Oryzias latipes: one gene and its partner. The main gene of each other region encodes a partner of the protein of the gene in region 2 in a complex. Links are inferred from orthologs where the notes say so. Each region holds a gene or a part of one and is shown on either strand. Other genes may lie near its edges. The genes, in order: rab6a and gcc2.

Evidence for each region.
Region 1: the proteins of gcc2 (region 2) and rab6a are in contact, whole or in part, in a crystal structure (PDB 3BBP), measured with the Homo sapiens proteins. The link is inferred for Oryzias latipes from reciprocal best matches to the Homo sapiens genes GCC2 and RAB6A. Residues at the interface, in NP_852118.2 of Homo sapiens: Thr1585, Ile1588, Leu1589, Glu1591, Gln1592, Leu1595, Leu1596, Glu1599, Arg1602; in NP_942599.1 of Homo sapiens: Lys15, Ile46, Gly47, Ile48, Trp67, Arg74, Phe75, Ser77, Leu78, Ser81, Tyr82, Asp85.

What each region holds. Positions count from the first base shown.
Region 1 is NC_019872.2:16,399,157-16,415,154, reverse strand, and holds rab6a (ras-related protein Rab-6A), read right to left. Parts: upstream 10,236-15,998; 5' UTR 9,988-10,235; coding exon 9,918-9,987; intron 9,659-9,917; exon of another isoform or gene 9,639-9,658; intron 8,331-9,638; coding exon 8,272-8,330; intron 8,172-8,271; coding exon 8,118-8,171; intron 7,501-8,117; coding exon 7,395-7,500; intron 7,285-7,394; coding exon 7,173-7,284; intron 6,958-7,172; coding exon 6,864-6,957; intron 6,440-6,863; coding exon of another isoform or gene 6,346-6,439; intron 5,453-6,345; coding exon 5,386-5,452; intron 4,266-5,385; coding exon 4,201-4,265; 3' UTR 2,788-4,200; downstream 1-2,787. Other genes in the region: dnajb13 (dnaJ homolog subfamily B member 13), read right to left, coding at 15-88; gap junction delta-2 protein, read left to right, coding at 14,000-14,070. UniProt on the Homo sapiens protein: The small GTPases Rab are key regulators of intracellular membrane trafficking, from the formation of transport vesicles to their fusion with membranes.
Region 2 is NC_019879.2:17,164,070-17,181,857, reverse strand, and holds the start of gcc2 (GRIP and coiled-coil domain-containing protein 2), read left to right. Parts: upstream 1-9,541; 5' UTR 9,542-9,938; coding exon 9,939-9,944; intron 9,945-10,301; coding exon 10,302-10,364; intron 10,365-10,672; coding exon 10,673-10,757; intron 10,758-10,839; coding exon 10,840-10,922; intron 10,923-11,022; coding exon 11,023-11,127; intron 11,128-11,245; coding exon 11,246-11,750; intron 11,751-11,864; coding exon 11,865-13,726; intron 13,727-13,880; coding exon 13,881-13,941; intron 13,942-14,032; coding exon 14,033-14,133; intron 14,134-14,577; coding exon 14,578-14,676; intron 14,677-15,345; coding exon 15,346-15,465; intron 15,466-16,268; coding exon 16,269-16,433; intron 16,434-16,540; coding exon 16,541-16,645; intron 16,646-17,788. UniProt on the Homo sapiens protein: Golgin which probably tethers transport vesicles to the trans-Golgi network (TGN) and regulates vesicular transport between the endosomes and the Golgi.

The DNA of each region.
Region 1 (15,998 bases), on a different chromosome or scaffold from region 2:
TAAAAGTAACTCACGCTTTTTTGATTTCAGCGTCAGATGCTGTCCTGTTAATTTCAAGAGCCTCATAGTAAGCGTTGTTCAGGCTCATTACGATAAAACCCTGACGGCAAAAACCTATATGTTCTCGACGAGTTTTTTTTAGACAATCCGAAGAGAAGTCCGTACGTTTGGGTTCGCTGCCTTGGCAACCACTGATCGGACCTCTCGCGAGATTTAAAATGAATCTGAATTTGCTGGTATATTCAACTGTCTTGACCAGTGGCGGTTCTACCCTGAATTACTCCCCGGGCGAGACCCTCCCCCGGCCCCCCCCCCCCCCCCCCCCCCCCATAGTCACAACAGAACTTTGTTTGTCTTTGTCAACTGACATGTTATATTGTCATTGAAATTAAGAAGTGGATACAAAAGATGTCAGAATTCTGAACAGCATTATAATAGTTATCAGAACACAAAAAATAAAAGACCATAAGCATGGCAAAAATACAGTTAGCTAAGAAATATTAAATCAATATTAAATAAATAATATAAAATAAATATTTTAAAAACATTTATGAATTGGAAATTTAAATTGTCATGTTCTATATCGATCTCTACTTCAGAGAAGAAAAATTAGCTCATATTTTCCGTCTTCAATCCTTTGATTGGAAAATTTTCAGTTATGACCTGTTGAATTATGTTTTGTCCCCATAGATTTGCAGTAAATGGTAAATATTCATTTTTAAAACTACCTTCAGATTTATGGAAATTCTATTGGCTAAAAATATAATCCCACATTTGTAAAACAAATAAAAAATAAACTTCATATGCAGGCTCAAAATTAACCCCTAAATCCCCAGTTAAATGTCAAAAAAACATTGGGAAAACGTTTAGGCTGCCACAAACGATTATTAAATTTAAGACCAATCTCAAATTATTTGCCCCATTAGCATCTTATGGCAGCAGCAGCATGCTGTGTAACCATCACAGCTTTTTTAACATTATGAACTAGTATACAACAGCAAAACCCAACAAAACCTTTGTGTTACAGCAGAGCAGACAGACACATGAATCATAACTAATGTTACAAGTTAAGGCAGAGCAAATTTTTAAGAATAAAATCTAAAAAAAAAAAAAAAATGACGCTATTTGCAACATTTGGGCCTACTTCAGTGTTGGTCATCGACCAAAATAAAGTTTTCATCGGCAACATTGTTGTAGGGCAGGTAGCATTAGAATTTAGAAAAGACATGCATCAAGCTGTGAGGACTTACCCTTTTCTTTATCTCTTTTCTCCTCTTCTTCTTTTCTTTTCTTTCTAAATTGGGCACCAGATGGCTTTGACCTTTTTTTCTCCATATTTTAGATGTTTTTGGCGTTTGTTTGGCATAAATGTCCTCACGTCACGAAGAAGACATCAAGTCCGTCGACTGAACCAACTGTCACCTTAGTGACAGCATTGTTTTGTGTTGCCATTTTTTCATTTGGGCATTTAACACAAAATTAACCCAAAAAAAGCAGAATATATTTTCTATACCTTTATTAAAGTGTAGGTTATAGAATGTCACCTTATGACTGACTTATAAAAAGGTTTTATGAAGTAGATTCAAACCCCCGCCCTTGTCCCCACCTAGCCACTTAATTTGGAAGCGTCCCACAATTGAACTGATTCCCCGCAGCCCCCCCCCCCCCCCTTTCTTCACACATTTCCAGCAGGAGCGCGTGCAGCTATAGCCAGGGGCGCTGATTCGCTACATGACGGCGCAGTCGCAGTTTTTACTTTTATTTTTTTCATCAAGCCCGCGACCGTCGCCTCCCCTGAAAGATGAGCCCGCCAGGTTTTGCGCATGCGCAAACGCGGTGGCGCTCCGTGCTCCCCCCGCGCCCCCTCCCTTCTTCTTCACACACATTTGTGTCTACTTCTCAAAGACAGGAGAGCGCACAGCTGCGGGGCGAGGGCGGCGGCGCGGCCAGGTTCAGGCTGTTACAAACTCACAAACTGTGACATAAGTAAACCAATAGTGGTGCATATAATATTTTACAAGGGCTGAGCCGCCGGTGCCGCCCCCCTTCAGTTTTCCGCCCCAGGCCACCGCCCGGACGGCCCGTGCCTAGAACCGCTACTGGTCTTGACATAAATAAACTAAAATAGTATTTCAAAATAATAACACACACAAACAGTAGAGACAAAGAGACCCTTAATCAAATAAAAAACACGAAGACATGTAAAAACTACTTAAAATGCTAGCTAAACAACGAGTTTTTCATTAAAACCTCCACAGTGGAGGAAGCCATAACATCCTCCAACAAGCTGTTACACAGTGCTGGAATGTGGCCTCGCCATTGGGTTTTAGTTCTGACCTTTTGGACCACCAGTGGACCTGCAGGATCTGGGAGGGTCTTGAACTAAGTAATGGTCCAGTTCCATTAAGAAATTACTAAACTAATAAAGGTTAAACAAACCACAGCAATGATGGAGTGGTCAGCATGCTAACATCATATAACTGATTTTAAAATTAAACAATCACCTAAAGACAATATGTCCTGGATATTCATCAGATGCATTTACATTTTGTGCCATGTCAACATTTATAAGTTTGGGCTTTTCTTTTTTAAAGGGATTATCCTCGTCAGTGAACATTTTCAAGTTATTTTTTTGTGATTTTCAGTGAATGAAATTATAAAATATGGATTTTAACAAGACACTTTCCTTTTTACCTAAAAATAAAATCTTAGAAATGTCCCGTTAATATTCAATTTTCCTTATTGCATGTGACTTACAGCTGTGGGAATGATACTCATGAACTCTAGTCATGGTGACCAAAATTGTATATTTATTCTGTCATTTGAAAAATCATTCCATACAGAAACGTTAAGGACACCCATATTATACAAATTGTACTTTCGTTCATAAGTTTACACAAAAATTGCACAATATTGTCAGTATAATCAAGATACCACCAAATAGTAGCAGACGGGACAGCAGATGGTCAAATTCAGTTAAAAAAAAAGTCCAGAGAGATGCATATTTTTATTAACGACTTAGGGACTTTTTTTTACCAAAAGTGAAGATATTAACAGTCATATAAAAGAAGCATGAATCCAACAGAATAAATATTTCAAGTCACTATGAATTAAATACATGTTGATCAATCCCTAACAACAGATCAATGCTCAAAGTAAAAATTACCCCCCCCCCCAAAAAAAATCAAAGCTTTAAAAATGTTCTTACCAAACTCATCTACTCCAACCCAAAGCCATAGAAGTCCTCCGTACTTATACTCTGAAAGGCATAAATCTGCATATCTATCCTGTTTAAGGTGGGTGTTGAGAAAATGCCCGCCTTAAACACTATTAAATAATCATCTATGACACCGCAATTATAATCTTTAAAAAGAAAGGGTTTATGCAAAAAGCAAAGATTAACCATAATAAAATGAAAGCAAAAGGTAAAAAACCATTTGATGGGTCATTAAGATGAAGAGAAGGACGGTAAATGGGAGAGATACCTTGGCGTGCTCATGTCAGAAGGTAATGGGGTTTTTCTTGTCAGTGTGAATTTGCAAATAGTGAGAGAAAAAAAATCCTTTTACAACAACTAACCTGGGTCTTGACCTAAAGCGCTGATTACTGTTTATGACTGTGAGAGCACCATAATTATGCAGGAAGCGTGTCTGAACTCAAACCCAATAGATGTTCATTTAACTCATTTAAATGTGCTGATGTTTATGTTTATCAATGATAATATATACCGGTAAAAGGTAACAGATTTTGCATGGAATAAATCAACTCAAACCACATGACTTCAAAACATGAAAAATGTCAAAGAACATTTTTCACTATGAAATACCTTGATTTGATGACTTGCAGAAGACAATTTCCTTTATTTTTTTTCAAAAAATACCCCAAACTGGCTCACTGCTCTTAAATCACTATTTGCTCTTTAAAAACGATTAAACAGAGTGTCAGCAGAAAGACTCATTTTAACTGTATAAACTCTTCTGTCCAATTCATGCAGTGCAAATACTAAATTTTTAGTGATATGTACATTTTAGAGTCTGTGGATGAGAGCACGTGTTCACAACAATGAGGACAGCAGATGTAGTGTTCTTGCAGTGGATATAGAAGGGTGCATATATATTTATAAAAACAAAACAAAACAAAAAATGAAAGAAAAAGAGAAGAAATAGCTTTCCGAAAAAGCCACTAATATAGGCGAAACCATTAGCAGGAACAGCTTCCTTCACTGGCAGGCTGCTCTGGAGGTTTCTCCAGTTTTATGTCAATCACTGGAAGGTCACAGAGTTAAGGAACACCAGAGAGCAAATAAAATGCATTGGCTATTTGGACTAACAATGGTACGATAACCTTAATCCAGTGTGGGTCTGTAAAGTCAGATTTCTATCATTCATGATCTCAGGAGAAAATCATTTTAAGTGACACAAGAGTTAAAAAGTGAGATGTTAAAGTGCAGCAATAGGGCTTTCCCCCTGGCAGTGGACACGTGTGACATTATATCAGATGACAAGTAGGCCTGCACAATATACCGCAAATTTATCGTTATCGCGACATCAAGCTATGCAATATGCATACCGCAAAAGACGCTGAAAATCGCAATAAATGGTTACCTTGACCCTTGTGCTATCCTAGGCACTTTAACATTGGGAGTTGGGTCATCTAGACCCACTAGACCAGGGGTGGGCAATTCCAGGCCTCGAGGGCCGGTGTGTCTGCATGATTTCAAGATAGCCTTTCCCTACTCATGGCTGATTACCTGGTTCAGGTGTGTCCAGCCAATTAGAACATGCCAGAGCAGGGTATGCTGGAAAACATGCAGGAATGCGGCCCTCAGTGCCCACCTCTGCACTAGACAGTGCTCTGAACCTTTTTTCTTCAATGATTTGTGATCTTCACTGGTGTCCATGGATTACATGAAATCTTTCCACCTTTATCCACCTTTGTCATGGTAGGGAGAACACCTCAATGTAAGGGTGGGGTCATCTAAGATAGGACAAGGGTTAAATGAGCTAAAACAAACTCATGGCAGCTTGGAATATTGAATAAATGAAATAAATCCCTTTACGCATTTAACCAATCGGAAGGACCTGTTTACGTTGTTGATCAATCAGATGAGCCCTTTTATGTTTGATGTTTGCCTCTTATGTCGACAAGGGTCATTTGGAGTATAATTTTTATACTGTTGCATTGAAATGGAAATGATGTTTTTGGTTGGTTTGATATTTGTTTATATACTGCAAATTATATCGTTATCGCAATATTAATCACCAATATCGCATATCGCGAGTTTTCCTCATATCGTGCAGCCCTAATGACAAGAAAGACAAAACAGAGCAAGGTGAACTCCAGACTCATGTCAGATCATGGCACTGCCATGCAAAGAAAGGATACTGTCCTCTCGACTCTTGTCTTGTGAGGTATCCATGCCAGGGAGGGCGGCTGCCACACGGCGGAAAAGCTGCAGAGGATAGAATCTACCATTAATGTCTTGAGTCAAAGACAGATGTTTAATACAAGACATCTGTAAAAGAAGAAATGCAGATTTGCATGCATCTGATTTTTCAGAGGTCCTGCAGAAACTTGCACAGTGGAAGACACCTAAAGGTTTCCCAAATGTCATAGTCTGATTTACTGAAAAGACTCATGTGCCTTTGACAAAAAGGCAAATTATTTTTGTTGAAAATACTAACCGAGTTTGGATATAAACAAATACTATTTTATTAATGACTTTTGGCTTCAGTTTTCTGCTTGGGACAAAGACTCTTGACTCAGATTGGTGTAATTTCATGCACATGTGTTCTGCTTCAGTAAACACTCTAATTAAATAAAACAGTTTTCTAATGACCATTTACAGTCTAGTTGTTTTAAGCTATTAATTACATTTTTAAAGGCGAATAATCATTAATCTTTACAATGCTGTTTGGTGCAATCATGTTAAAGGCTTCAAATCCTTTACTGACATTTTTTCCTTTTAATAATTATTATTATTTAGTTCTTGCCAAACATCAACTTTAAGGTTTCATTAATATTAGTATCCGCCACTGAAAAGTTTTTTAATCCCGATCATGCACATCAATCAAAAGATTGCATCAAGTGAATCTTGTCTGCATGGAGATTCTGCTGCAGCACCGACTGAATATTGTTGTCTATTGGTGGTTTACAAACTCTCACTCAATTTTAAATTTTACAAATAAAAAGTTGCCCAATACATAGAGAGAATTTGCAAAGCCAGTCCATGCACCTCATTGCAAGCTGATGTTCAGAGCACATGTTGTGGAAAATAGAAGCCAATCAGAAAAAAAGGCAGGAGTGCAATGAACACATGCACACATGAAGGTGCACAGCCTCTACCTGTTTGACATTGTAGCCTGTCTTTGCACTTGTTTCAATAAACAGAACATTCATCTCTTTTGCTCTCTGTTCTCCTTCCTCTGTGGTTATCTGTCTGTGACCAGCCACAATCACAGAGCACCCGCAAAACAACCGGGAGACGCACACACCGACGCACACATCAACACGCAGACAGGAGAAAAACAAAAGAACAGCACAGTCTATAATTATTTGACAGTACACTGGAAAGCCGTGCCCCTTCCTGCTGCGCTGCTACTGCCACCAGACCAGAAGACCAGAAGCCTCATGAGTCCACAGCCAGCACTAGAGATGCATTTAAGACAAGATTTAGATTCTCTAACCAAACGATGCCATCACATTTTTAGAAATAATCAGATTTGTAGTCAATGCTTAATCACTAATGATCTGTCATCATGTCAGCGATCACAGATTATTAGAGATATTTGAGGCTTCTGGAGTTGAAGCCCAGGGCAGCATCGGCAGCAGGACTACAGAGCACGACTGACACACAACTTTACCTGCTTTACGTTGTAGCCCGCTTTCGCACTAGTCTCAATAAACATTACATTTAGTTCTTTGGCTTTCCGTTCGCCCTCTTCAATAGAAACTTGCCTGTGGTAGATAAAGGTGTTGAAAAGATACACAACTAGACAAAACACAGCGTCGCTTAACAAGTCAATCAAATGCATCATTGTAAACATTTGCAATCATGGAAAATGTCAAATAAACAATAGCTTTGGTTATCCTGAAGAACACAGAAAAACAGGGTCATCAGTCGAAATGTGACTTCAAAAGGGAAAGCCTGCACAGAAGATGCAAGAAATTACCTTTTGTCAGCCAGGTCTGTCTTGTTTCCCACCAACATGATGATGACATCACTTCCTCTCTCTGTTCTAACGTCATCAATCCATTTTGTGGTTTGCTGGAAAGAGTTAACGTCTGACAGAGAGACAAAAGTTCATCCCAAATTCAGTGAGGTAGCTTAGCTGTGAAAGCTGCTGGATCGCAGCACAGAAGTCCCATCAGTCTAGTGATGCTAAATCACTCACTCGTGATGTCGTACACAACAACAGCGGCAGCAGAGTCTCTAATATAACTTGGGATGAGGCTGCGAAAGCGCTCTTGTCCTGCTGTGTCCCACAGCTGCAACCTGATCTGTGGGGCAGGAAGAGGATGAAATGAAAAATGAAAGAGAAGAAAAAAATAAAAAAGAAATAAAACACAAAATCAAGATGAAAACAAACAGATAAAGGACCCAGTCAACGCGGCCAAAACGAATATTGAAAGAAAATTCTTTCAGACTAATGGAGAAAAAAAAAAGAAAAAACAGAAAGTGAATAGAAAAGAAGTAACACGTGCATGTTGGGAATGACCATCAGAGAGAGTAAGCTGTCTGGGCCTGGGGGGGAAAGAAATAAACAGTCACCTTTCATTTGTCACCCCCTCTATTGACCAAGTAAGGTGTTTCATTTAAAAGAAATGTGATGATTAATAGATGATGGAAAGGAAAGGAGAGGAAGAAAACTTCAGTTGAGGGAAAAAGAATACAGTGAGGCCTGTCCCGACGGTACAACAGGACACTACAATGTTCTACATGTGCTTTTTGAAGTGAACACTTAAAAAGTCAGGCGCTTAACCAGTCAGATCAGTTGTACAAAAGCTCACCGACCGTGTGAGGTGATTCGGCTTTGCATGGCCTTCACACAAAACCCACGCCAATCAAAACAACAAACAGGATTTACAAGTTAGGATAGGAAACACACAAAACTTACTGTTCTGTCTTCAAGGTACATGGTTTTTGATAGGAAATCTATTCCTATTGTGGCCTGAAAGAGAAAAAGAACTTCATTATACAGCTATAATTGCTTTAAATTAACACGACAAAATACAAGGTACATTAATGCTTAGGAAAACAGGCAGTCTTACTTGGTATGTGTTGTCAAAGCTGTCATACATGAACCTGGTAATCAACGAAGTCTTTCCCACTAAAACAGAAATAAAGATTAAGGGAAAAATTGAACTTTTCAATATCTATATGCATTGATTTAATTTTTTTGTTTAATATTGAGCACAAAATGTAGATTTTTTTAAGAAAGGAACACAGGTTTTATCAAGTAACGGATTTACATTTTATTACGTCGAATCAACAAATGGGTGTAGAAATAACCCCTATATGATAACTACGATAAGTGTTTAGAGAATGCATCCATATAGTCCAGTTTTTTAAGATATGGAATGACATTATTTTAAAATGGAGGGTTGAGGAACAGTCGGAAGAAAGGACTGGGGTCTAGGTATTCAAAACAGGATTTTTTTGTGTGTGAATTTCTAAATATTGTGGCCTAGATTGACCCAAACATGGCATATCCTAAATAAAAAACAGTATGTTAATGATCACCTGTTCAGACTTTATGACATTTCTTTAAAAAAATAATCAATTGAAGTGGATATCCATGTTAGGCAATCCTTCCTGTCCTAAGACTGTTTATTACTCGAGTTACGTTATCAGTTTCAATGAGCGACAAGGGGGACAGTGACATGGCTCAGGCCAACATGACTGTTCACAGAGGTCACAGACGATAACTATCGGCTTTTTTTGGATGACTCGTTCCGTAGGATGAAACACTTCTACTCTGTATTACTCCACATTTCTATTATGTTACTCAATTCCCAGCAGGTTTATGAAAGCGGATATATGGACGTGATCATAACTATCTTACTGAAAGCTCTGAGTCTAACACTTAGGCAGAAAATGTTCTGAATGCAAAACATGTATGCATGTAGATAAATTGTACATTTGTAGATAAATAAAGTCTAAAATAAATATAAACAAATTAAATGTGTGATGGTTTGTGACTGTAAGACGGTTGTTGGTTCTAATCCTGGAAGTAATCACTTAGGAGAAATCCCATTATAAAAACATTAGATATAAATATTATAGGTCCTTCAAATACTTAATGTTCAAATGAAAACATTCTAAACCCACCAGGAGGTTGCTGAACGGAGGAAGGATCTAGGATCCTTACTGTGTGCTTTTAAGGAAACTCTTGCGAGTATGGTAGAGTGAGTTATCTTCCTGTGCTCACGCGGACTATAGGAATTTAGAAGGGTAACATACCATAAATAAATAAAATAAACAAATTGATTAGGACAACACTTTATCTTAATAAAAATACATCATGTAAGTTAGCCTATTATTTGCTAGGTTAAGAAACAGCCTCATAATAAATAATATACTGTCTACTACTTCTTAATAATTTACAACTTTCCACTCTTAACATGTTACATCTTACCAGTGAAAAGACAAGTCAGCAAACACAATGAATTACATGATCAAAACGTGAAGAATGATCTGTGATTATCCTCGGAGTCCGCGTCCACACTACAGGCAGCATGATCAGCAGTGTTTTTATCCGGTTTCAAGTAAACGCAGCTAATGTTAGCTAGCTAACTACAAAGCGGAAGAAAAACCAGGCATCCCGTTAAACTCTGGTTTTCAAAAGGAAAGTTTATCACAATAATATTGATAACATACATTCCTCGTAAAGGGAACCGTAACGAGAAAAACTTACCACTTTGTTCCCCGAGGAAGACCAGTTTAAATTTCCTTAAAGGGTTCCCGAAGTCTCCGGCCCCAGACATGTCGACGGAACCAAAAACGAACCCAGAAGGCGCCCTTAAGTATTAATTCTAACTAAGTAGCTATTGTCTGTTATCAAGTGTATGGTATACGTAAAGTTCAGAAACAAAGTTTGGTAATCAATGACAACTCCTTTAAGCTCCAACACACTTTCAGATAAGTCGGTAACTATTACTGCCAACTGAGCATTACTTCAGACTGTCATGGCTACCAGCAAGCCCCTCCAGACACTTCTTCTGTAGACACATCAGTGTATGATACGTGTGTAACAGTGCTACCACGCCCTCTGCTGGTGCTCAACCAGCAAGGATGGGAGGGAAAAAAATGCCATACTATTTTTTATTACTTCATGTTTCCATACGAGGGCGCGCTAACACCACATTATTATTATTATTATTATTATTATTATTATTATTATTATTATTATTATTATTATTATTATTATTATTATTATTATTATTATTATTCATTTCACATGTTCTATTTTCAGGACTCCTTTTTTTAAAATCCGTCTGATTTCCCATGAATAAAAGTTATACCAATAATGAAATTTTAACCTAAATTATTTATATTAGGTATTAAACCCAAATTCTTGCATGAGCTCTATTAAATACATAACAGTGTGTATAGACTTAATTGATTGTTTGTAAATTTTAAGTCAGAAAATTTTGGGTTTTGATGCAGAGATAGTAGAAATAGTTATAAATTTTGTCATTATAAAGGGGGTCTCATGGGGGACTATTCAGGTACACAGCTGAAGTTCTGCTATGTTTACCAGATGAAAGAATTATGATAAATCTAATATAACATTTTTTTGTTAAAAGTAGCTTAGAAAAAAATGGCATGTAGTTGTATGAAAAAAGTCAAAGCTTTTATTGAGAAAATTTCTGATTTTTACATCTGTTGTAATATGTTCCACATTTTTGCTTTCAAAAATTCCTGGTTGTTAAAATGCTCTGATTACCGAGGGCTTTTGACATTTGTAATGCTTTTGTGGAACATCCTTTTCTCCAACCAGCTTATAGTCATCAAATCTTGTACTCTTTTTACAAATGTTAATGTTTCATTTGGTATCATAATGACATAAAATGGGAATTTTTTACCAGGGATGAAATTTTGACATGCATGATTCTTTATTGTCCAGACTTTGAACAATCGTGATTATTCACACAACATACTGTGTAATATTTGTAATTACAACTAATGTATAATATAATTGTTGTTGTTTCCTTGGGTCTAACCTCATTTGAGTATAACTTTAATGCAATGAGGCTAATTGCAAATTCTCCTAATTTGATATTTTGTATTATTTTTATACAACCCAAATTTTTGCAGCAATACAAAATTGTTTGAGATATAATTTACATAAATACATGTGTAGTGTTTTACTACAGTACAGTCTGCACATTTCTGCCTACCTCAGCTGTTCTAGGTCAGTTAAGAGAATGCACACACCTGCGCCCCTCTTTCATTCTTGTGTCGTCCAGCTCCTCTTACAGCATTTATCAGCTGATGCTGGCACTTCAGCTGCAAGGTTTGTGACCAAAAGCGGAGCTGAAGTGGAGCCATCATGGTTCACTAGCTTGCCCGTCTTCTCTTCTTTTAGCCCTTGTACCGCTAATGTCCTTGGTGAGGGGAAAGACCTCCTCCCATTCCCTCAGAAGATGCTGAAACGACAAAATCTATTTGTCTCCCCACAGCATGTCCTGCTCTTTCCCTGTCTTCCACATGTGAGGGGGAATTTTTTTGTGCATTTTTTTTTACGTTAACAGTTATGTATTGATAATGGGAAGGTGGTCCCACTATTTCAAAGCATAGCAAGAACATCTAATTCTGCAGAATAAATTAGAAAAAGTTGTAATTGTAATTGAAAGTCGCACAATTGAACAGAGGGGCAGCAATAATGAATTGAATAATGAACCACTTCCAGCTATGACTTCATGCTGGTGTGTTGGTCACATGCTTTGTCAGTGCATCATTTACTTCGGCAAATTTTGAGTCGTTGAGATGGGAAAGACCTGTTATGACTCACAGATTGGAAATGACTCCATGGAGTTCTTCGTTTTGAATGTAGGATTCTCTTGTTTGGCTTTTTGTTTTTCTTTTTAGGAAGATAAAAAGTGTTTATCTGCTAGATGTGAGCAGGTTAATTTAATTGGATCCATCTCCCTGCATCTGTGGGCTTAGTGCAGGGCGATCATCACTTTTCCGATCCACCTTCATGTAAGTGTAATGACTGCAGCTTTCAATGTCACAGTAAAGTACAACACAGTGCTCATTTCTCTTGGGACAGGGAGAGAATGAAGGATTACTGTAGGATGTGTGGAGGACATGAAGAAAGGACAAGACAGGAAAAACAGGAAGGGCAAAGGCATTGGGTCAGGAAAAAAAGGGGTAAATTGAAATGTCAGCTAAATAAGTGTAAAATGCTAGAGTGACAAATATTCAATCCACCTCCTGGATTCACTTGTTTGATGTTGTGGGACATAAAAAAATGGGAGCATTTAAAGTGCAGCCCATTTCTCGCACCAGTACAAAGGACTGCAGGGAAGGCAGGGCAGAGGGAACAGTATGATCTGCAACCTGTATATTCTGAGCAGCATCAGAGACATGCACAGCAGTGGGAGGCATTCTTGCAAGCATAAGTGAACCACCAACCCGGATAGCAATCCAAGCAAATTTACCAGAGGAGGCGGGGAAGCATGGAGGGAACGGGAGGTATGAGAGGGAGCAGATCTATGAAAAGAAGAGGAGGAGAGGGGGGGTGTTGCATGCTCACGGAGAGTGACAGAGACAGAGCAACGAACAAGAAAGAAGCTCAGAGATAGAGAGGAGAGCACTGAGCAGAGATGGGGACCGATCACTGACACAGAGCTAGTTGGAAGGACTGAGATCAACACAGAACAAAAGAAGAGAAAGAGGAAGTGAGTGAAGGTGGATAGAGAGCAAGGGGGAAGGGGGCAAGGAGACACAAAATGATGGAGACCAGAAACATTTTTTACAGGACGCCTTTTCTTCCCTGTTGCCTGCAGCAGACATGACTCTGGGCACTGGACTGTGCTGAAATTAGCCAGGGGGACAACAAGGGACAACGGGTCTGCAGCTAGCTGCTGCGGTTCAGCTTGACTGGATGCAGCAAGGCAGCTGATTTATCACTGATGGTCTGTGTGGCAGTGTGTGTGTGACTCTGTGTGTGTGCGCGGGTTTTTATGGGTCTGTGTAGAGCTCAGAGCTATGGGAGCGACCATTCCTCCAGTCATGAAATGACATTTAGCAGGCAGGAGCTTTGTGTGCTGGTGTGGATCTGCTGTCCTCGGCTGGAAGAGTGAGAGTGGGATTCAGAGCTGTCTTTGAGGGAAGGAGTGAGTGTGTGTGTGTGAGTGTGTGTTTACAGTGCCGATTGCCAAGATGAGCCAAGGAGAATCAGCTGCATGTGATGTGTGTTTATGTTAAGGAGGCAAGGTTGCAGGAAAGGCAAATGCATACAATGCAAGGACAGGTGGAGAAGAGCCTCGATGGCACAGAGCGCAGCTGAAGTGATTGGGGGGTAAGGAGGAGGACGAGAAAGGAGTGAAGAAGTAGGGGACAGAAAGAGGCAAGTGGAAAAGAGAGGGCAATCATGGCTGTCATACAGTGAGCTATAGCATATGCTGTAGTGCAGAACAGAGTGGTGCTGCAGGGGGAGGACAAGCATCACTGCGCTGGGGAGGGGGAATAGATCGAGGGAGAAAGAGGAGGGGGGAGGCATTCAGCTTACCACCTCTTCAACACCAAGTGGGGGGGGGGGGAGCACAGCAGGACGGGCCCAGCAGAAGACAATCACGCTCACGGGGGACACTCCCGGCCAGGTCGACGTGTAGAGGTCAGGGGGGGGAGCTGATGAGGTACAGGGGTTTAGTGTAACCCCTGCTGGTGCAAGCAAGCACAGGCTGGTCCTGTGAGGCAGAGGAAGGAGTCGGTTGAGGGAAGAAGGGGTCGCTCCCCAAGCCCCATTTCTGCCATCGTTCCATCACCATGGGAGAATGGACCATTTTGGAGAGGCTGCTGGAGGCAGCTGTCCAGCAGCACTCCACCATGATTGGAAGGTAAGACTGATGGATTGGTTGTGTAAAGTTTTGTTTGTCCAAAAAAAGAATGGTGTCCTTTGTGTACAGTACGTGTTGTTTTATGTAATGGCATCCCCACAGAGACTCCTCAAGGATTGTCCCGTTGCTCTCCTCTGTTCCATGATCCCACCAGTCTTCCCCGTGTCCTTCTTGTCCCCTCCACTCTCATTCTCCACACTTATCACTAGTTAAGGGCTAAAATAATTGGACTTAATCAATACCGGGCTTTACCAGGCATTACAGATAATGCAGAGAGGTTCCTATGTTGATGCCAGCTAATAGCCTGAGCATTGATAGATGGTACTTGGCCACCGACCAACAGAACAGAAGGATGAGAGGGGAGTAGGAGTGAGAGGATGGGGTGGAAGATGAAAGGATGGTGGGCAAGCAGGTGAGGAGGATAGAATCAAAGGGAGGAGCAAATGAAACACAAAAAAGTTAGTTCCCATTACTTTCATGGGCAACCACTACTGCCATAACGTGACCAGATATTCTTCGAAGGGTTTGTTGGGGGACATCCAACAAACAAGTTGGATTTGCAGTGGACATGCTGTGAAGATGTGCTGTAATCTCTCTGTGAAATGTCTGCTCCACATCACCTTTGAGTGATTAATGGGATGCAAAAGTGGAATTTTCCATTCAATGAACACAATACACATGTCCCACTTGGATGCTCATAATAAAAAGTTAACATGATTCAGTCAGGGAAATCTGGATTTACCATTAACAGCTCAAACAATTTGAACTAAGTGTAATTTCTGCAACAAAGTCAAACTTCTATGTCCTAGATTCTTCTTTGACAGGCATTATATAGATGTGTGCATTTGTGCGATTGGGTGTGTGTCTTATGCTCTGCGGGTTAAATGAGGGGAAATTGGCCAATGCATTCAGTCACTGCCCTGTGCAGAGTGTGCACAGAGCAGTAAGGCTTTATCGTCTGAATGACTTTTACTGTAACTGCATCAAAGTAACAGAGATGATGTGAGCCCCAATAAACCTTCCACAAAATGCATAGAAACCATTTACAAGGACTTTCCTTGCAGCACTGCAGTCAGTTCTTTCTCTGCAACTGCATTAGCCAATGACTCACCTAGCTTGACTTATTTTAAAGATTCATTAAGCAATATTTTTGTCCCATATGATCTTTTTTTTTCCTATTTTGGGGATTCCTGCCAAGCTCACCAAGCTCTGCAAATTTTGGCGTAATGTCTTTTGAAATCTAAACAAAACTTGGTGGCTCCTTAAAGTCCTACTCCAATCATCTTTTGATCTATTGTAAGAATGTTTTCAGTGGTCTTTTAATTATGATGATGCCATTTTTAGCCCAAATAAAAAAACTTGTGTCGCTTCTGCAGAGCGGCAGGAGTTTCTTAGAAATTTGCATGTAAGTTGTGGGCGGGACCATTGGCACGGAGGAAGCCTGCAGTCATTTCCCATCGATCCCTTTGTTTCCACTATCTTCTGCTAGCTTACATCCCATCACAACCCTAAGCTAACATTACAGGTTCAACAAAAAAGGCGAGCAGTATTGGTTGCTTTCCAGCTTTACAGTGTTGAGCCAAATGCCAGCTCAGACGAAGAAACCGAAATCGTAAATGGATCTAGTCGTCTACAAGTGGATACATCAGAATGGAGCCGAGCAGGGAGCTTGTGGCTTGCCAATTGTAGTTTCATGTAAAAACTAAGAGCTTTTTCAAATAGCATTGTTTAGTCTTTTCACCATATTCACCATAATTTGAATAAAGAAATACACAAAAATGTAGTTTTCATCTTAATTTTCATCTTAATTTTCTTTAGACATGTCCTCCATCATCAGACAAATGCTACAAGAACATATTAAAAACATTTACTTGGAGTGGGTCTTTAACAGAGAACGAGCTTGATTTTAAATACCCAGAGTAAGGCCA
Region 2 (17,788 bases):
AAGGTGAACAGGAATGGAGAGAATCATTGAATTAAAGCAGCAGAAAAAGAATTTTTGAATGTAAACTTAATAGATTTTTAAAAAGCAGCAGGATGCCGTCCCTCAAGGCTTGGAGACTCACACCCAATATATTCAATCTTTTGAAATTAGGTCACACACTCCAGCGACCTGATAAGTTTAGATCTAGTTTGTGCCCTTTCTTGTTAAGATTTTCCTTAAAAAAAAGAAAAACATTTTTTTAAATGTATCTCCTTATTCTGGTTGATAGTGTTCAATGTCTGAGATTTCTAACAATAATTCTGTCAATCGTTAACATCTCTTACTGTATGATGAATGACCAACGGGAAAAACAGTTTCCCAGCAGCTGATAAAGTTTTATTTAAAAGATAGATGGATTTGGAGTGTTTTCAAGGCCAAATCAAGAATTTACTGAATGGCGTGTTGTTTGTCTCACAAGAGAAAAAACTGCTTGCATTGTTCTTCTCCTAGCTCTCAGAAAAGTAGTTTAAGCTCATGAAAACTCGTGAATTTCTTGATAAATCTTGCAATCCTAATCTGTCCAGAATGCCCAGGAAACAAGAATAACAAAAATCAGATAAACTGGAAATCTGGTGTTTAGTTTGTCTACATGCAAAAAAGATTATTGGATGCTTTAGAATGCTCAGTAGCACAAAGATTCAAAGAAAATGTTTCCTTTTCTTCATTTCAACAAGTAGAAAACACACTGTTGGTTACTCGTTTCACCTGAACATCTCGTAACCCAGTGTTATCTAGAGATGATAGCTGAATCGGTGTTATCTGATAAATATTTAAATTCATTATTAAAGACTTAATAAAATTTAAAAAAAACATGTGTCCAGAGCCTGTGATAAAGTAGTGCTGTTGTTTTGGGGTCATGTTTTTGGCAGCAAGAAAAGGGACGTAGAATGATAAAAAGAAGATGATTAGAAAGAAAGTCTCAATATACAAAAAAAAAGTTTAATAAATGTGCCATGCAATCTTGATCTGAAGGTCTAATGCCTATTTTTGCTTGTATTTGTCTGACAAAGGCATTTGCAAAGAGAATTTTTAAACATTCATACACCTTAATGTTCATTTTGATCAAATCTATGTGGACACAATGATGTTGTTGTTGTAACATGTGGGCTAGGACTAAAAAATGGTACAAATGTACTTTTTAACTCTGGTTTTCTAGTACAGTAGAAGCTGCAAATGACAACAACAGACGAGAGGAAGCACCACTACAACGTACCTCTTTCTGTCTAAATTAAATAGGTTCTTAGAGGGAGGCGGAGAGGCTATTTGTCTCCACGTCCAAACAAGCTGAATCAATGTATAAGATCAATACTGATATCTTTAGGCCCATAGCTGCTACTCTAATCTATTATGGATGTCTGGGTCTTGATGGATTAAATATGTGTTGGTCATAACAGTTTATCATCATCACACATGTAGAAAATGGTCGGAGGAATGTCACAGCTGCATGGTGTAGTTTTGACGAAGACCTGAACGCATGTCTGCAAAAAAAGAAGCTGTTTTTCATAAATAAATAAAAATCAATTAGATGGGAAAATCCTCCAAGTTGTGGCAAAAAGTGACGATTACAGTGGGAAACAAAACAACTGCCAAAATACAAAGCCTATCTTTAAAAAAGTATCTAATCAATGCTCAAATATTCCGGTCAATGCTGATATGAGGCTTTAGTTTTGTGACTTTTATGTCATAAATAAGGGCAGGATTTTCTGGCGGACTCACTTAAAATATGGAGTTATCCTTGTTCTTATCATTCAATGCAAAAAAAAAGCTCAAAATCTAAAAATGTGCATATAGGAGGTTTTGTATTTTGGTCATTGATCACCTAGATAAAAGCAAAAGGCTGAGTCTAGGTCAAAATAAAAAATAAAAAAAAAACAAAGAAGGAAGTTTAACTCTATAGCACAACCAAATCAATATACCATGACAAAAGTTCTGTTTGGTGGTTTGTTTCCTGTATAATATTAAAAATAAATGCTGTGCTAACAATGCTGCTAGTGTGAGCTATGAGAAAAATTTAAAAAGTCTATTTTCCCTTGATCGCCCGTCCAGATGTCTCTTTGAATGAAAAGCATTGTACTGGGAGGAATAAAACCACATTGAAGACCAGATTTATGCTCAAAAAGCAACCTACACAAGTGTAAGTTGATGTTTTATGTTTTGCTTTTTTTACTTGACTTTATCTCTGGACAACAACACTTCTAAATATGAGACTTGCAATTGTACTTTTAATACCTTTTTAAAAATGTTCTTGCATTCTGAGTGGATATTTAAATGGATTTTTTAGAATAGGAAAGCAGATACACATTTGCTAATATTGTAGTCTAAGGTTTTTTCTCTCCTTGTGTTCGCAAGGATTAAGAATATTAAAAGAAATTCAAAAATATATCCAGTGGCATCTATATTTGTATTCATTTAAATTTACATGTAAACAGTGGCTACACATTTATACATAAAGGACTTTATTAAATACTATGTGTGTCCCAGGAGTTATTTTCCTGTACTTTTCCAAGTGCAGAGGTCTTTTCCTTTCTTGAAAGTACTTTACATTTACTTTCTGTCTTTTCAATCAAAATAACATGTTTTCTTTGTTAAAGTGTTAGTATATTTTTGTAATCAGAGTGCTCCTTCCTCGGTTCTGTTTTTTAGGTGGCATTCCAAACACACAAACCTGCCCCTTCTGCTCATCTGGAGTTATTTAATAGTGACCTCTTTTTGTGCTCCTTTACACACCTGGTTAAAATGCATATTCAAATGTTTTCTAATGAGATCATTTAAGTTCAACCAAATGTTTCCTACAAGAAGCATATTATAACTGATGAATTAGATGATATTCATTAACTTCTTTCATTTATTCACCTCTTCTGGCAGCACTCTGAGACTGCTGTAATTCCACTAATGGAGTACTCACCATTAAGGTCCACTTTTTTGACAGTGACTGATGCTGCTGAAATAATAAAAAAAAGCCTGAATGGTTCCCAGCTAATGCTAAAAGCAGAATTAAGTACTGCGACAGGCAGCGTTTGTGACTTTTTGCATTATTATCATTACATGTTTCGCTGAAGCAACAGCTATCTTACAAGAAAACAGAATGATACAAAAAATGTATTTAAAAAAAGTAATAATGGGCATGTATAATTTAACAATACTGCAGAATTTAATTCTTTAAGTGCTATGTCAGACACGGGCATTAGATATACAAATAAAGGCTAAATTTGCAGCCGTGAATGTCTTTCTATAGAAGTACATTTACAAGGTAAATTTCATCATAGACTTATAACCCACAGACTTTTTTTTTCTTGGAGAGACATTGTGGAGTTGCTGAGTTGCCAAACAACATGGGAATTGTGTGCATATGCAGTGCTGGTTCTGTGGTTCTGCAGTGTGCGCTGGATGCTGAGCTGAGGGTTAGCCAGCACTTCCATTAGTTCCTAATTGAAACTGAGCAGTTGTGAGAAATACATTCAATGAGGGTTATGTCTTCCTGAAAACCACCCACACACAACTGCACAACATGCCCAGAGAGGAAAGGCCACATCTCCACTGGAGAGATGATGAATAGCTTGAAACAAAAAAAGGAGACAGAGGGACAGAAAGAAAGAGAAGCAGAGTGTTTCAGTAACACTAAGCAGTAAATCCAGTTGACTCATTGCTCTTAGAGCTGTTGACTATTTGTTTCTAACTTTGCTGCAGCAAAAGAAACCAGATTTTCTCTGCTTTGCACATGCTTTGTTTGTATTTGCATCCGTGTGTTTGTGTTTCTGGCAAAAATGAAAACTCTCTACTCACCCTGGTGTGTGGTTTTCCAACAAAGACCTGGGAGCTTAAGGCTCCTGTCTAAGGTCTGAGGTCTTCCTAGAAATTAGGTGTAGTCACTCCACCAGTTTAGGGGTTACTGCCCCATGTCCACAACGGCTTTCCTCTGTTCTTTATCTTCAACTACCATGTCTGGTTGGTTCATCATTACCATCCTGTCTGTATGTATCTTAAAGTCCCATAAGATCTTTGCTCACTTGTTCTCCACCACTCTTGATAGACAATGAGACCTTAACCTTTGGTCACACTTTCTCATTTAAATGAATGGGAAGGTGTGTCCAAACTTTTTGTCTGTACTGTAAGTCCATATACAATTCCAGCCAATTGGTCCGTGTATGCTTTCTCTGCCAGCATCTTACACCCTGCAGTTATGTGTTGGATTGTCGCAAGTGCCTGCACCTTGAGTCTTGTGTTGTGTGATAGATCTGGGCCTCTGTGGCTCTGTTGCTCAGGGTTTGTCCTGTGCAGCAACTGAGACAGAGCAACTCCTTGTTTTATGCCACATTTGATGGACACTTGTGCAAGAACGTTAGCATTGGCTTAAAAGGGGGTTTTCTACAACCTCATTGAGTTTGCTGAAAAGGCTCTTAGAGTCTGGTCGATTTTGTACAGCTCCTAGTATTCAGTTTTCCACGTGTGTGGTGCTGAGTCATGGGCTATCCTGTAATCAATCCAGGCACTGCAGAGGGTTAGTGTGTCATGACCTTCAGTCTTGAGTGACTATTTTGTTAACTAGGAGTTGGTGTTTGGCTCCCCTAGTATCGCTACCACTACTCTTCAGTGCATTGCTCTTGCATTGATCCATGTGCCTACAATGATGCCTGGGATGAGCTTCCATGTTGTTGGCAGGTAGTTGGACTGAACCCTTTGAGGGATTCTTCTGTATCCTTCTGTTCACTTTTCCATAAGCCATTTTAGAGAGTCCCATCTCTTGTTTATTCATTTCCACCACTCAGTTGTTTCACTTTACGTAACCCTATTTCTTATTGTCACTTAAACACTACAATCATACATATTCATTTTGTTTCAAAAATTCCATTAATAAGGGTTTGTACAGGATTTTGAAAGGTTGGAGTAAGCATGTGTAAGCAAAGAGTTGTGTTAGGAAAAGAGGCTGTAATCAGAGCTCAGCGGGAGCGTAAGTGCAGACGGATGCAGGTTGTTGCCATCTTCCTTGATGAAGTGCTGTTCTCCTGCTGAGCCACCAAACTATTTATACAGCAACATGGACAGCCTGGGGGCAGGAAGGACAAAACTGCAACACTGTCGGTTCCTTCTTCCTGATCACCTTTTTCTCACTTTGCATCCGTTCACAAAAAAACAAAAAAAAACAGGTTTCACATTTGTAGTATGTAAAACAGCATTTGCAATGGAGACATGTAAATATACAGGGCAGCATCACTAACAAGCACTTTTGTCCATTACAAAAGAGGATGACCCTGCGCAGCTGAGACTGACATTCTGTATAAATCTGTTTTTATAAAAGTCTAAACATTCTGAGAGTCGGATCGAAGGTCTGATCAAAGGTCAGCTGTGGAGCGTGCTCCTTAGATCAGACGCCGAGCAGACAGCATGCATCATCAATAATGGACTAGCATCCCTTGGATCACTAGCACACATCTACACACTTACAGAGATGGTAAGGAATAAATGTCGCTTTCACAACATTTGATCTAATCAAAAAATCCATGATTGTACAAATACAGATATGGTCAAAAGGCTTTTGCCCTCAAGTGGTCAATGCAAACATAAAATACAAACTACAAACACACACTTACAGGGACATACAGTACAGACCAAAAGTTTGGACACACCTTCCCATTTATTTGAATGAGAAAGTGTGTCCAAACTTTTGGTCTGTACTGTACATATAATGGACTTTTGTTTGGCTCTCAGCAAAATAAAAACTGATATATTTACACAGAAACACAGGATCCAGTAATCTATCATCTTTTTCCAGTTTATTCTTTTCTATTATAATTGTAAATAATTACATCATTTAATACCATAGGATTATCTCAAAGATACCTTCCAACTATTAAAATTTTGATGTTTTGGCATTTTCAAAAAAATTAAATCAGCATCTTATGTAAAGTTCATATTTAAAACATTTTTATGCATTCATAAGGAAAAGCAAAAATCTTTCTAGATTAATGATTGATGCAATAATGGAGTGCTTTCTCCTGAGACTTTGACATGCAGCCTATACTATTAAGCTGCTACATAAACATAATTAACAGGAGCTCAAACAATACAGTCTTTCATATTCTGGGAATGCAGATCCTGAAGTCAATTATTAGTGACCTCGCGCTCACAGCATCATGTTGTGAGAAGAACAATCTGAGAGGTTCAGTTCCCACATTAATACATGAAAATGTCAAAGCTATATGTTAAAATGTCAGTTTTCTTAATGGCACTGCCACTCTGCAGAAGTAAAATGTCAATAAGGAAAGAAATACAGGAGACATAAAGAGAAGAGTGAAGCCATGTAAATGCTGGGTGAATGGGGATGGGTTGAAATAAAAATGTGAATGAGCACTTTAGCAAAAAAGGCTGCTGAAAAGATATCCTTATAATACTTTACAACTGCAGAAAAATTAATTATCTCACAAATTGCTTATAAGATATACATATTTTTACTGTCAGCATTCAAACCTACCAACATTCCCGCTTAACCTCATCTGTCAGCCTGTCCATCACCACTGCAAACAAAAAAAATCTTGTTGACTTCCATTATTTTATTCCACTTGTTTCTCAATTTATTGTACATGCAAACATTTTTCAAATTACAGAAATGTAATAATTTCTGGTTGTCTGAAGAGGCTGCACAGTTAAACTCCCGTCAAACCGCAGGGGTCAACAACTCAAAACTATCAGTCACCATTCACTGATTGGCTAATAGGGAGAATGTTGGGGAGGGTGGATATAGTAAAGGGTAATGGAACACTTCTGTGTTTGCAATCTATTGATTTTTTATTTTTGTTTTGTTACTGAAGGAGTCAAGAACTTCACGTTCTGATTGAGATCTACAAGAAAATCTTCAAAATTGAAATTTCCCTCTAAACATTTTTTACATCAGCACATCTGATCATACAGTGTATTCATTACACCATCATAAAACATACGTTGGAACAGGCAACACAGACATTTACACAATAATATAAATCATTCATTATATTCAACTCTCATTCTAATACATACAATAATTATTGAGATAAGAGCTGGGAAATAAGATCACCTGAAAAAAGTAGGCTTTTTTTAAGACAAGGAATTTAAAAGCCTACTTGGTTATTGTTTTAATAATGCAATAATCCACACCTGTATCTGTTTAGATATAACTCTGAATAGAATCAAAAATCAAAATTACAAAAAAGAAATTAATCCTCTGAACCTGTTTTATCCCTTTCGGGGTGAAGAGACTGTCAGAGCCTATCCCGGCTACTCATGGGCGAAGGCAGGGGACACCCTGGACAGGTCGCCAGTCTGCCACTGGGCCACAGATCACACACCCATGCACTCTCACATTCAAACTTAGGGACAATTTTAGAGTAACCAATTAACCTATGAAGCATGTTTTTGGACAAAAAATGTTAATTTTCAAGTATTGAATGGAAGAATCAGGAGAAATAATTGGCATTTTGAATCCCTAACATCATCTAGGTTAGGAAGTGTACATCTGCCAGTGGGAAACATCAGAAGAGCACCTGATACACTTTTTGTGTTTGTGGGGTTTATGTCAATAAATGGAATGTCTTATGCTCCATGTTCTATTTAGTATGTGGCAAATGCCAAAACAAAGCTACCAAAGCAAAATCAGAAAGAGAATCTAAAAATACCAGGAGTAAAACAGCATCTGTTGCTCCTCCAGATAGACTGAGCCGGTTCATTCATTACTCCCTTAACGCCGGCCGGTGTCAGTTATATTACTGCAGAGCTGTGCTTGACTGACGGCCACAAGTGGGGGGAGAGAAATCACTGCACAATGCTGGTGGATGCACTAAAAGAAAACAAGGAAGCAGCCATTGATGGATGGGTATGTTTGACCCAGGCAGGGTGGAAGGCAGCAATGGGTCTCTTCCAGATGAGACAGGGAGTCGACAGAGTCTCTGCCCCTCTGATCAGACCGTGCCAGCTTTGTCAGCATGAGCGGCATCTTGCTCAGTTCTCCCAGTTGGTGCCTCCATCAGTTGTGTCAAAACAGGCGATCTCCATATTCAACAGATGGAACTGGACCTTATGTGATAGGAATACAGAGCCTCCACTGACTTTCTGACAACCCTGTTGTCAGAGTGATGAAACAATGTCAACATCAGACACCTTTAGTATATTTTATGCATCATGGATTGCCATAGACAGATTCTAAACCCTTATTTCAGGGTTTAGAATCTCTCAAATGAGAGAATATTTTTTGCAACCATCTTTTTAATACTAGATGTGAACTATAGGAGTGTATGCGTGAATTTTGGTGCCTTGAATAAAAACAGATTTCGTTTTTTATTATTATACAGTAAATCTGCTGAACACATCAGAGCTGACTTGATTTCATGCTCCAACACGATGAAAAGAACTGTTTTTCTATTCAGTTGAAATAATTTGAATAATGATTCAAAAAACTTTTTTTTAATGTGCACAGTGTGTAAAAAAATACTGTAATAAATGTGCATTTTGATGTACATTATATGGGGGGGGGGGGGGGGGGGGGGCGTGATGCAGTGTTAGGACCTCGGATTGGAAGATTGCAGGTTTTATTCACGCTTTTCCCACCTATGTGTCGAAGTGTCCTTGGGCAATACACTGAACCCCACCTTGCCTCTGGTGGGAGGTTGGCGTCAGTGTTTGGCAGCAGAGCCGCCATCAGTGTGTGAATGTGTGTGTGTGAATGTGAATGTGTGTGTGAATGAATGGGTGAATGGGCCTGTGACTGTAAAGCGCTTTGGGCCTTCGAAGAAGGTAGAAAAGCGCTATATAAGTGTACGCCGTTTACCATTTACATAGTATAATTTACCACAGAAAAACTTAGGGAATTTGTTTTGACCACACGTTTCCAATTTTTTTTTCTAATTTTTTCCATTTTTATGAATGAAAGAATACTATATAAATTAATATGGTGCAAAAACACAATATAACTCAAAAATACGTTTGAGTCAAAGTTATTCGAAATTACTCAACAAGATGAAAACATAACAACAATAACTACAACAACCATAACAATAATAATAATAACAATATAATAATAAACTTATAATAAATCTTAGTATACACACACAAAACCAACAACAAACATTAAAAACAAAAATAAACAATTAAAGAGCAAAGTTTGGATTTATGTAAATTGAACCTCATAGCCCTAAACATTTTGATAACTTTTTAAGGTTTTATGTTGAGCAAAGAGGAGATTGTTTTCAAACATAGCTGAAGTTCCATATGATTTTAAGTGAGTATGTTAATGTTCAGGCTTTTTGTTAGCAAATTTACTTTTGTGAATATCAAATGTTGCCATAAATAAAAATACACAAAAGTATAAAACGTCACGATCCTTTTCAAACAAAATTAGGAAAACCAAAAAAACGACATTTGTATTATAAAGTTGAAATTCAGCAAAGAATGAAATGTTTCGAAGTTCCTTTTTTTTTGGCGAATACAAAAGAGAATACTACAATTTGAAAGGAAGCAAAAAGAAAAGGAAAATTCTTGTCAGTATGTATACATAAACCTATTTATATTCATAATCATAGAGAAATCAGGGAAAAGTATAACATAGGAAAACAACAATTTCAGAGTTGGATAGTGTTATAAAATGCAGGGGGATACACAATATAAATAAACTGTCTTAGACATCGGGAATTGGTTCGAGGTTCCTACCTCGAAATGTGAATAATTCTGACGTCACTTGCTTGGCTGACGATTGCGGAAGTAAAGTGCTGCTCCAGTCTGCTATTTCAGAATCATAACAGTGGAAGTACCTCTGACTTATATAGTTGGAGTATTAGAAGTATTTTTAGGTGTTTATTTGGTTTTCTTTAGCCATCTACTAGTTACCTCTGCGTGTGACGGAAAACGGTGACGGAGATAAAGAGTCCACTGTCAGGATGGAGGTAAATGTTTATGTCGAGCTGTTAGCTGTTAGCTAATCAGCTCTTCTCAGTTTAGCAATCTCAAAGTTAGTTCCGTGTCCTTCTTAAGTCATATAAACCGAGTAATGGTCACGTTGAAAGTGATCAGAGTTGTATTTTATCACATTAATGAAACGTAGTATTTATATTCGAGGAAATAGTAAGTAGCTTCAGGGTTTGGTGAGCATTTTTTCTGTTTTTCGACGAACTTTACTTATTTCTTCCCACTCCCCCCCAAAAAGGGGTTAAAAATCCAAACTATCAAATAAAAACAACTTTTGTTTGAGATTTTTTCCAAAATGTCAACACATTGAATGGTTTTTCGTCATGCATTTAAAGGAACCTGGAGGTACTGCAGCTGAGGCTGTGACTCCATCATCAGCAGGTGCATCAAAATCAAAGGTAAGGATGTTCAGCAAATACACTCCCGTTTTTGCTCAACTGAAACTTACTTATAATTCTCTGTTTATGTGTTAGCTTTGTTAATATTCACTGTGTGCATGTTGATGACGTTATATTGAGACTGTCCACATGTGTGCACATCACATTTTGGGTTTTTAGTACCACAGTAGTTGATTCTGCTTAACTGGGGCTATATGACTATGTGTGTAGAAGGTTAGCTCAAACATTTTCTTGGGTCTTGAAAAGTAAAAATTATTGCTTTGATATTGATATTTCTTTTATTTATTTATTTTATTGTTCATTCACAGCTGGACACGCTGTCCAAAGATGACCTCATCAAATATGCCAAAAAGCAAATAGCTGCCATGCAAAAGATGAAGAGCAAATGTTCAGGTAGCTATGAATGTTGTACATTATTATTTATCTGTCCGTCATAAATGCAGTCGTTTTCTTGAATGTGACTTTGCCCTTGCAGATTTAGAAAAGGAAGTGGAATCCCTCAAACAACAGCAATCTAAAAGCGGTGACGGCAATCCAGATGACGCTGCTTTGTTTCAGGTTTGTGTCTAGAAAGTGACTGCATTGTCTGTTATTGATACCCCTCTGTCAAAAAAATTTTACTTTCACACTTAATTGTGTGGATGGGTGTGCGATATAGGAGCTGACTGAGAGGATGGATGCCTTATTACTGGAGAAGGCCGAAACTCAGCAAAATGTTACACTCCTGCGTAAAGAACTGGAGAAGACTAAACAGCAAGCTAAGGTTATCTTCACTACAGATACACAGAATGACAGTTTTATCAAATTCTAATGGATTACCTGTCTGTTTGTAAGTGTGATTAGTTGCAATGCCAAATACGCATGTTTGTAATTTTGTGCAGGAGGATTTAGCGGCTCTTCAAAGTGAGCATGAGCGTGTCATGGAAGACCTTCAAAGGATGATCAAGAACATGGAAAGCAGCATTCAGGAAGCCAACCGTAAACACCTGGAAGAGGTGTCTCATTTCCAAAATTTATTAATAGAGCGAGAAGAGAGAGACAGGGAGAGGGAGAGTGAAAGAGAAAAACAGCGGCAGGCGGATTATGCCATTGAAAAAGAGAGGGCAGAAGAAAGACGGCGGGACTTAGAAGTTCAGCTGGAAAGACTCAAAGCTGAGCTGGAGGATATCCAAGAAAAACATTCTCTAGAGCTTTCCAAGATTCAGGAGAACTACCAAAGGGGCTTTACAGAGGCCCAGCAGGAGGTGGAGAACCTGAAGGAGGAGCTGTCACAGAAAAGTCTGCACCATGAAGAGGAAATGAGAACTCTGGAGGAGGACTTTGAGCTTGAGCGGGAGCGTCTCTTGTTGCTCAACGAGGAGCTCACGGAGCAGCTTGCTCTTAAAGGTACAGCAGCCCCCTAATTCCATGTTTCATCAACTTTTCCAACTTACTTGTAAATAATGAAAAAAACCTAGTCCAATGAACATGAATTCAATCCTTTTTCTTGGTTGTTTTCAGACAGCTACCTGCAGGACGTTCAGGAGGAGGATGAGGAACCTCCCCGTGGTTCGGGAATAGCACAAATGCTGGAACTGTCAAGGAAAACCCAGGCAGACTGCTCTGGCGATGGGGAGGACTCTGAGAGCAGCAGGCTGGCAGCAGCTCTGGAGGATCTTCAAGCTCAGAACACCATGTTACAGGATGAGCTCACGCTGCTCAGCAACCTGAAAGGCGAGCTTGAAGCAGAGCTGGAACGAGCTAAGGAAGAGTTCCAAACGGAAAGGGAAGAGCTGGAGTTCAAGATCAACGAGCTGCAGCTGATTAAGGACAGTCCATCCACTGAACCTAGAATGATTCTAGATGCTCACTATCAACATGAAGAATTGAAAGAGTCGACAGTTAGCTTAGCACAAGACCAAAGCTCCCTGAAACTTGAGGAGCAGCAAAATCTGAGCCTGGAAGTAAGAACCCAGTGCGAGGCCTTGATCAGAGAGCGAGACTCTGCTTTGACTGAGTGCCAACACATGAGGAACATTCTTCAAAGCACTGAAGCGGAGCTCAGTGAGAAGACTAAAGATTTTGTTCTACAATATCAAGCTATGAAAGAACAGGGAGCTAGTACAGTCCAAGAACTTCGAGATACCATTGAAAAGCTCAGTCAAGAGAGAGATGACGTTTTGGGCAAAATGAATGAAGTTATAGAGGAGAAAAATGCTCTGATGAAGGATGTACAAGACCTTAGGCAGAAGCTGGAATGTCCACCCTTTGAAAACCAAGAAATGCAGTCATCTGAGGAGGAGCAAACTCCTTTAGCCTGCAAATCCAAACCATCGGTGGAGGACTTCACCCAGCAGAATGAGCAGATCCGCTCCCAACTGGAAGAGCAGGAGAACATGATTCAACATTTAAAGGATTCTGTCGCCACGCTGAAAGAGGAGCGAGACAAAATACAGAACTTGCTAAATCTCAAAGAGGATGAAATGCGGAACCTCAACGAAGAGCAAACAAAAGCAATGGAAAAGCTGGAGCAGGAAAAAGCTAAAGAGGTTCTGATGCTCAGAGAGGAAAAAGAGAATGAGCTGAAAAGCTTGAAAGCAGAAACCCAAGAGAAAGTGAAACAACTAGAGGAAGAACGAGAAAAAGTAAAAGAAAGCCTGAAAGAAAAGCTGGTGAATAAAGAGATGTTCTTTAAGTTAGAAGCAGCAATCAAAGAAATGTCTGATGAGAAGGATAATCTCCATCAAAGGTTGGAAGACATTTTAGTGGAACTTTCCAATGCTCAAAAAGAGAAGGACGTTTTGGGCTCCAAGGTGTTAGCTCTGGAAGTTCAGCTTAAGCAGGAAGCATCTGTAAAACAAGAGCTAGAAGAAAAGTTGAAATTAGCGACAGAAGATGCAGCACGAAGCTACGCATCCATGCAGGCGCTGGAGGAAAAGCAGTCTCAAATACTCCAAAACTCCACTGATGAAGTCGAAGAGCTGCGAGCACGTGTTGGTGAGCTGGAGCAAGAGAGGAACCTGTTGAAGAGCAGTCTAGAGGAAGCTCAGAATGAATGTAAAGCTGAGGAGATGCAGACGGATCTACAGACGCACATTAGAGACCTGGAGAAGGAGAGAGACATGCTGAAAGGGAACCTAGAGGAGGTGGTTCATGACATGGAGGGGCTCCAGAGAGACCTTCAGGAGATGAAATCGCTCAATGAAACCGTTTTTGATGAGAACCAGACCTTACAGGCTCAGGTCTCTCAGCTGAATGAAGCAAAGGTGGAGATGGAGAAAAGGATGGAGAACTTGGAGAAAGAGAGCAAAGAGCTCAGAGATCAGCTAACAGAGAAGGAGTCGCTCATATCTCAGCAGAGGGGGGAGGTGGCTGCTCTTCAGGTGGGTGTGGCTGTTTTCTCATGTTGGAGTGGCATTAGGCTTTTCCACAGCATGATTTCCCCTTTCTTCAACATATTATATAATCAGATCAATAAGTCCAAAGGTTTTTAATTTTTTTTTTTTTTTTTTTCAATTTACCCTCTAACTTTTAAAGGAATCTGCTGTCCAGTCTGCTTCCTCTGAGGAAAATACATCTGAGATGACAGACAGGCTAGGTGTTTTGATATTCGATGTATTATTGCACTGCTATATGTGGGATTACATGTATAGATTCATGACTTTTTCCATTCTTTTTTTTCCCCTCAGCTTTGCTACAAAAAGAAATCAAGGAAAAGGGTGAGAAGATGAATAAAATCAAGGCAGTTGCTCTCAAAGCAAAGAAAGAGTTGGACATCCATAAGAAAGAGGTAGTGTGAAAAATCCACTCCATAATGAGGCTAATTTTTTAGTGCTTTGAAGATTCAAGAACCAGTAACAAAATTTAGTTTGAATTAAAGAGACGCCTTTGTTTTGGATCAGTAGTAATTTAGAAATAGTGGAAGCCATGAAAAACTACCAGTACATTACATTTTATTTTTTTAAGGAACTGGTATTTAAAAATAAAACCCTAAAAATTCTGAGATTAAAGACACTTTAAGAAAAAGTGAAATTCCCTGTTTCCTGGTAGATATGTTTATAATATTACCTTATTGCTCTTATCTTTTCCCAAAGGGAATATACTCGCATCTTTTTAGTTTTTTTGGTTTTCTTTCATCCTTATGTCAGTCGTTTCTTTCTTTTGTCTGTAAAGACCAAACTTTGAATAATCACTTAAGGGTAGATTCCACAAACTAAACTCCTTTTTGTTGCAGGTTTTGAGTCTTAAAGAGGAAGTGGAGTCACTGAAAGCAGAAAGGGAGAAAGTAAACAGTTCAATGAAGGATATCATCCACAGTGCTGAAGGCTACAAGGTAAGAAACCTGAAGTCTAAGACAAACAGCTTTAGATCTATTCCACGATAGTAAAGAGGCCTAAATACAGAACAAGATGTTTTTCTTTTTAAACCCTAAAAGTGATATTGATTTAGGAATTTGTAAATAGTAATAATAATAAATCCTAATCAATTTGTCTAAAGAAACATTTAGATTTATTCTTTATATTGTGGATTTTTAATTAATAAAAAAAAGAATTTGGAAATGTGAAATAGATAAAAGTAACTGCATGTTTTCCAGCTGACTCTCCAGCACTGTACCTCCAACTCATCCTCGTCTTGTATTCTCTTTCTGTCATGGATGGATCCTGGTGTCTTTCTGTTTTAGAGTCTCCAAATTAAAAGCATAGTTTAACTTCACTTAAAATTAAACCGTTCGAATTTATTAAATTAATTACAACAAGTGAAAGCACGCTCCATTTAAGCAGACTTGGTGTGCAGTATTTACTCCCAGTGGACTATAAACAGCTCCATGCTTTACAGCTGTGACTCCATTAAAGCAGAAACCATTCTCTTGTGTCTAATGACTTTTGGCCCATCTTGGAACATGGATGCAGCTTGAAAAACTGAGATGCAGTGTTTACCTTCAGTGAACTGTTCCGCCTGTAATGAATAATAAAGGGACGTGCGGCTCCGCGTCTTTGCTTAGAATCTGCAAATAGATTATGACAAACGAATGGAGCAACTGGATCTGCAGAGGGAGAAGGTGGAGGCAGCGGAGAGACAGATTGCTGAGCTGACCAAACAACTCAGCAGTGCTGTCACACAGGTAACTGGGATGCGCACTCAATCACACGCACACACGTTGCTACTAACCAATACATACGATGCTCCAAGCCTCCAGTAAATCTATGCGCAGAGGCTTTGATAGGTCTCAGCGATATTTATGCTGTTGCTGGCTTTCCAAATGATTTACAGGGGGTCATTTTAGCCGGCAACATTTTTCCGAGATATGTCTGACAGCCCGGCGCTCACAAATAGCCCATCAGATGTGACTGGGTGAGCAAGGGAGAAATTGTTTTTATATATACTCCTTTCCCCCTAAGCCCATAACTGTCTCTTTCCAATGAGAGAGCAGGCGGGTAAATGTAGCGGGCTATAGCTCCCATCTGCTGCGTGGTGGTGCAACACCATTCTCTGAGACAAAGCTTTATTCTCATATGCACTCAAGGTTCTCTGGGGGGTGCGGAGGGATGCAAACTGATGCTGCTTAGGAAACTCGGAGTCTCTGTTTACCGATCATGATTTTCAGAGTTTGGCTGGCAGCCGATTGGAGATGAAGCTGGCTGCTCAGTGTTGCTTTCAGAGAAAACCCTCAGAGCCTCTCTGCTGTCAGATCCACTTGGATGGCTTTGAGCGGTGTCACGTCTGTTCGTGCAGGTTTCAGATGTTTAAAGTCTATGGAGAAAACCTTGGACAAAAGGGAGACAGAGCCTTTTTCTTTTTTTTCATTCAGTTTGAGATTTAAATACAATACATTCATTAGATCACCTACTGAATGTTTGCTTCAATTCACAACAAAATCTTGATTAGTTCATGGGACAGTGATGAGTCGTATCTTCACTGTTGTAGAGGGAAGCACTAAGCAGTGAAAAGGAGGACTTGAATGCCGGTTTGGAGACGGCGAGGAGCACAGTGAGGCAGCTGGAGACCAAAAACCAGGAGCTGCAGAAACAGATAGCAAGTCTGGACAGAGATCTGTTGGCTGAGAGAGCAATGAAAGAGCAAAAGCTTAAGGTAGAGGTTTGCTTAACATTTTTGGCAGAATTACACAGCATGTTTTTAGGGGAGCCTTTGTAAAATCCAATGCGGCTTCATCAAGAGGAATTTCCTCATTTCTCCAGGACTTGGCAGCTGCCACAAAGGAGGTGGAAGAACTGACAGCAAAGCTCCGCAAGCAACAGGAGCAGTCTCAGCAGACTGCCCAGGAGCTGGAGCAACTGCGCAAGGTATGCGCGCACAAAAGCCTCTCAGGCTGGAGTGTGTGCCACAGGTCCTGCCCGGTCAAGCGGCTGAGCCGGTGATGGCTGGCCTGGAGCTGGAGTAGGACCCCACTGACAGAGATAGAGCAATTGTAGCCCACAGTGAAGGAGTCTCTGCTGCTTTCACGTTAATGGAGACCTACATAGTACAGCAGTATACATGGAAGCTGCCTGCAGGCTGGACATTATTTTGTGTCCATTTTTCTTATGCTAGCAAAGGAATCTGAGGCTGATTTCATTGTTTATAGATAAGCAATAGTATATATTTGAGAGTATTTTTTGTTTGTTTCAAAAAGAAAAAAGAAAAGCAAACACGAAAAATCTAGGCGTTACTGTAATTTTTGCATTGAGTAATGAAAATCATTTTAGTTATTTGCTAATTTTTATTTTTTTAGGTTTAAAAAAATAAAAAAGTGTCTGTAAATGCACCTGTTTAACAAGAATGTTTTTTTTTGCCTTCAATTCTGTAATGCCTGAGAAAACAGTCTGTCTGCTCTCTGACTCTTTTCAGGCCTGTTTTTAAAGCTCTTTATTACGGTGGCCCTGAAGTTCAAATCACATCGAGACATAGCTGAAGGCAAAAACATATTAAAAATCTCAATGACAAGTAAACAATAAAAGCAAAACAAATTGTAAAAAAACTACATTGCATTTTAGAAATCAAGCATAAATCCCAAAAAACAAAACACAACCAAAAAAGGAAACAAAATAAAAACATTTTGGTAAACAAAAGGAATTTTCATAAATAAAAAGAAACAAAATAAAAACTTTGAACATGTAGGTGCTAAGGGACATCACTGATTGGATGGTTTCAGCTTTAACTTCAACCGGAAGTTATTTGGTACGAAGCGCCTGAAACCACAAATATGAATGTTACTGGTGACTTAAACAAAGAGCAGCTAACCCTAATCTACAACCACAGCAAAAGTTAGTGATCGCTCAATCAACCACAGTTTGGGCAGACAATCTTTCTGCCCAAACCGCCCCTCTTCTTAAAAACTCAAGTGTCATCATCAAATCAGTGATGTAACATAGTTCCTACCTTTTCCAGTTTCTTATTCTGTTTTATTTTTTAACATTTTCTTTTATTTCTGACTGTTTCTTTTGCTC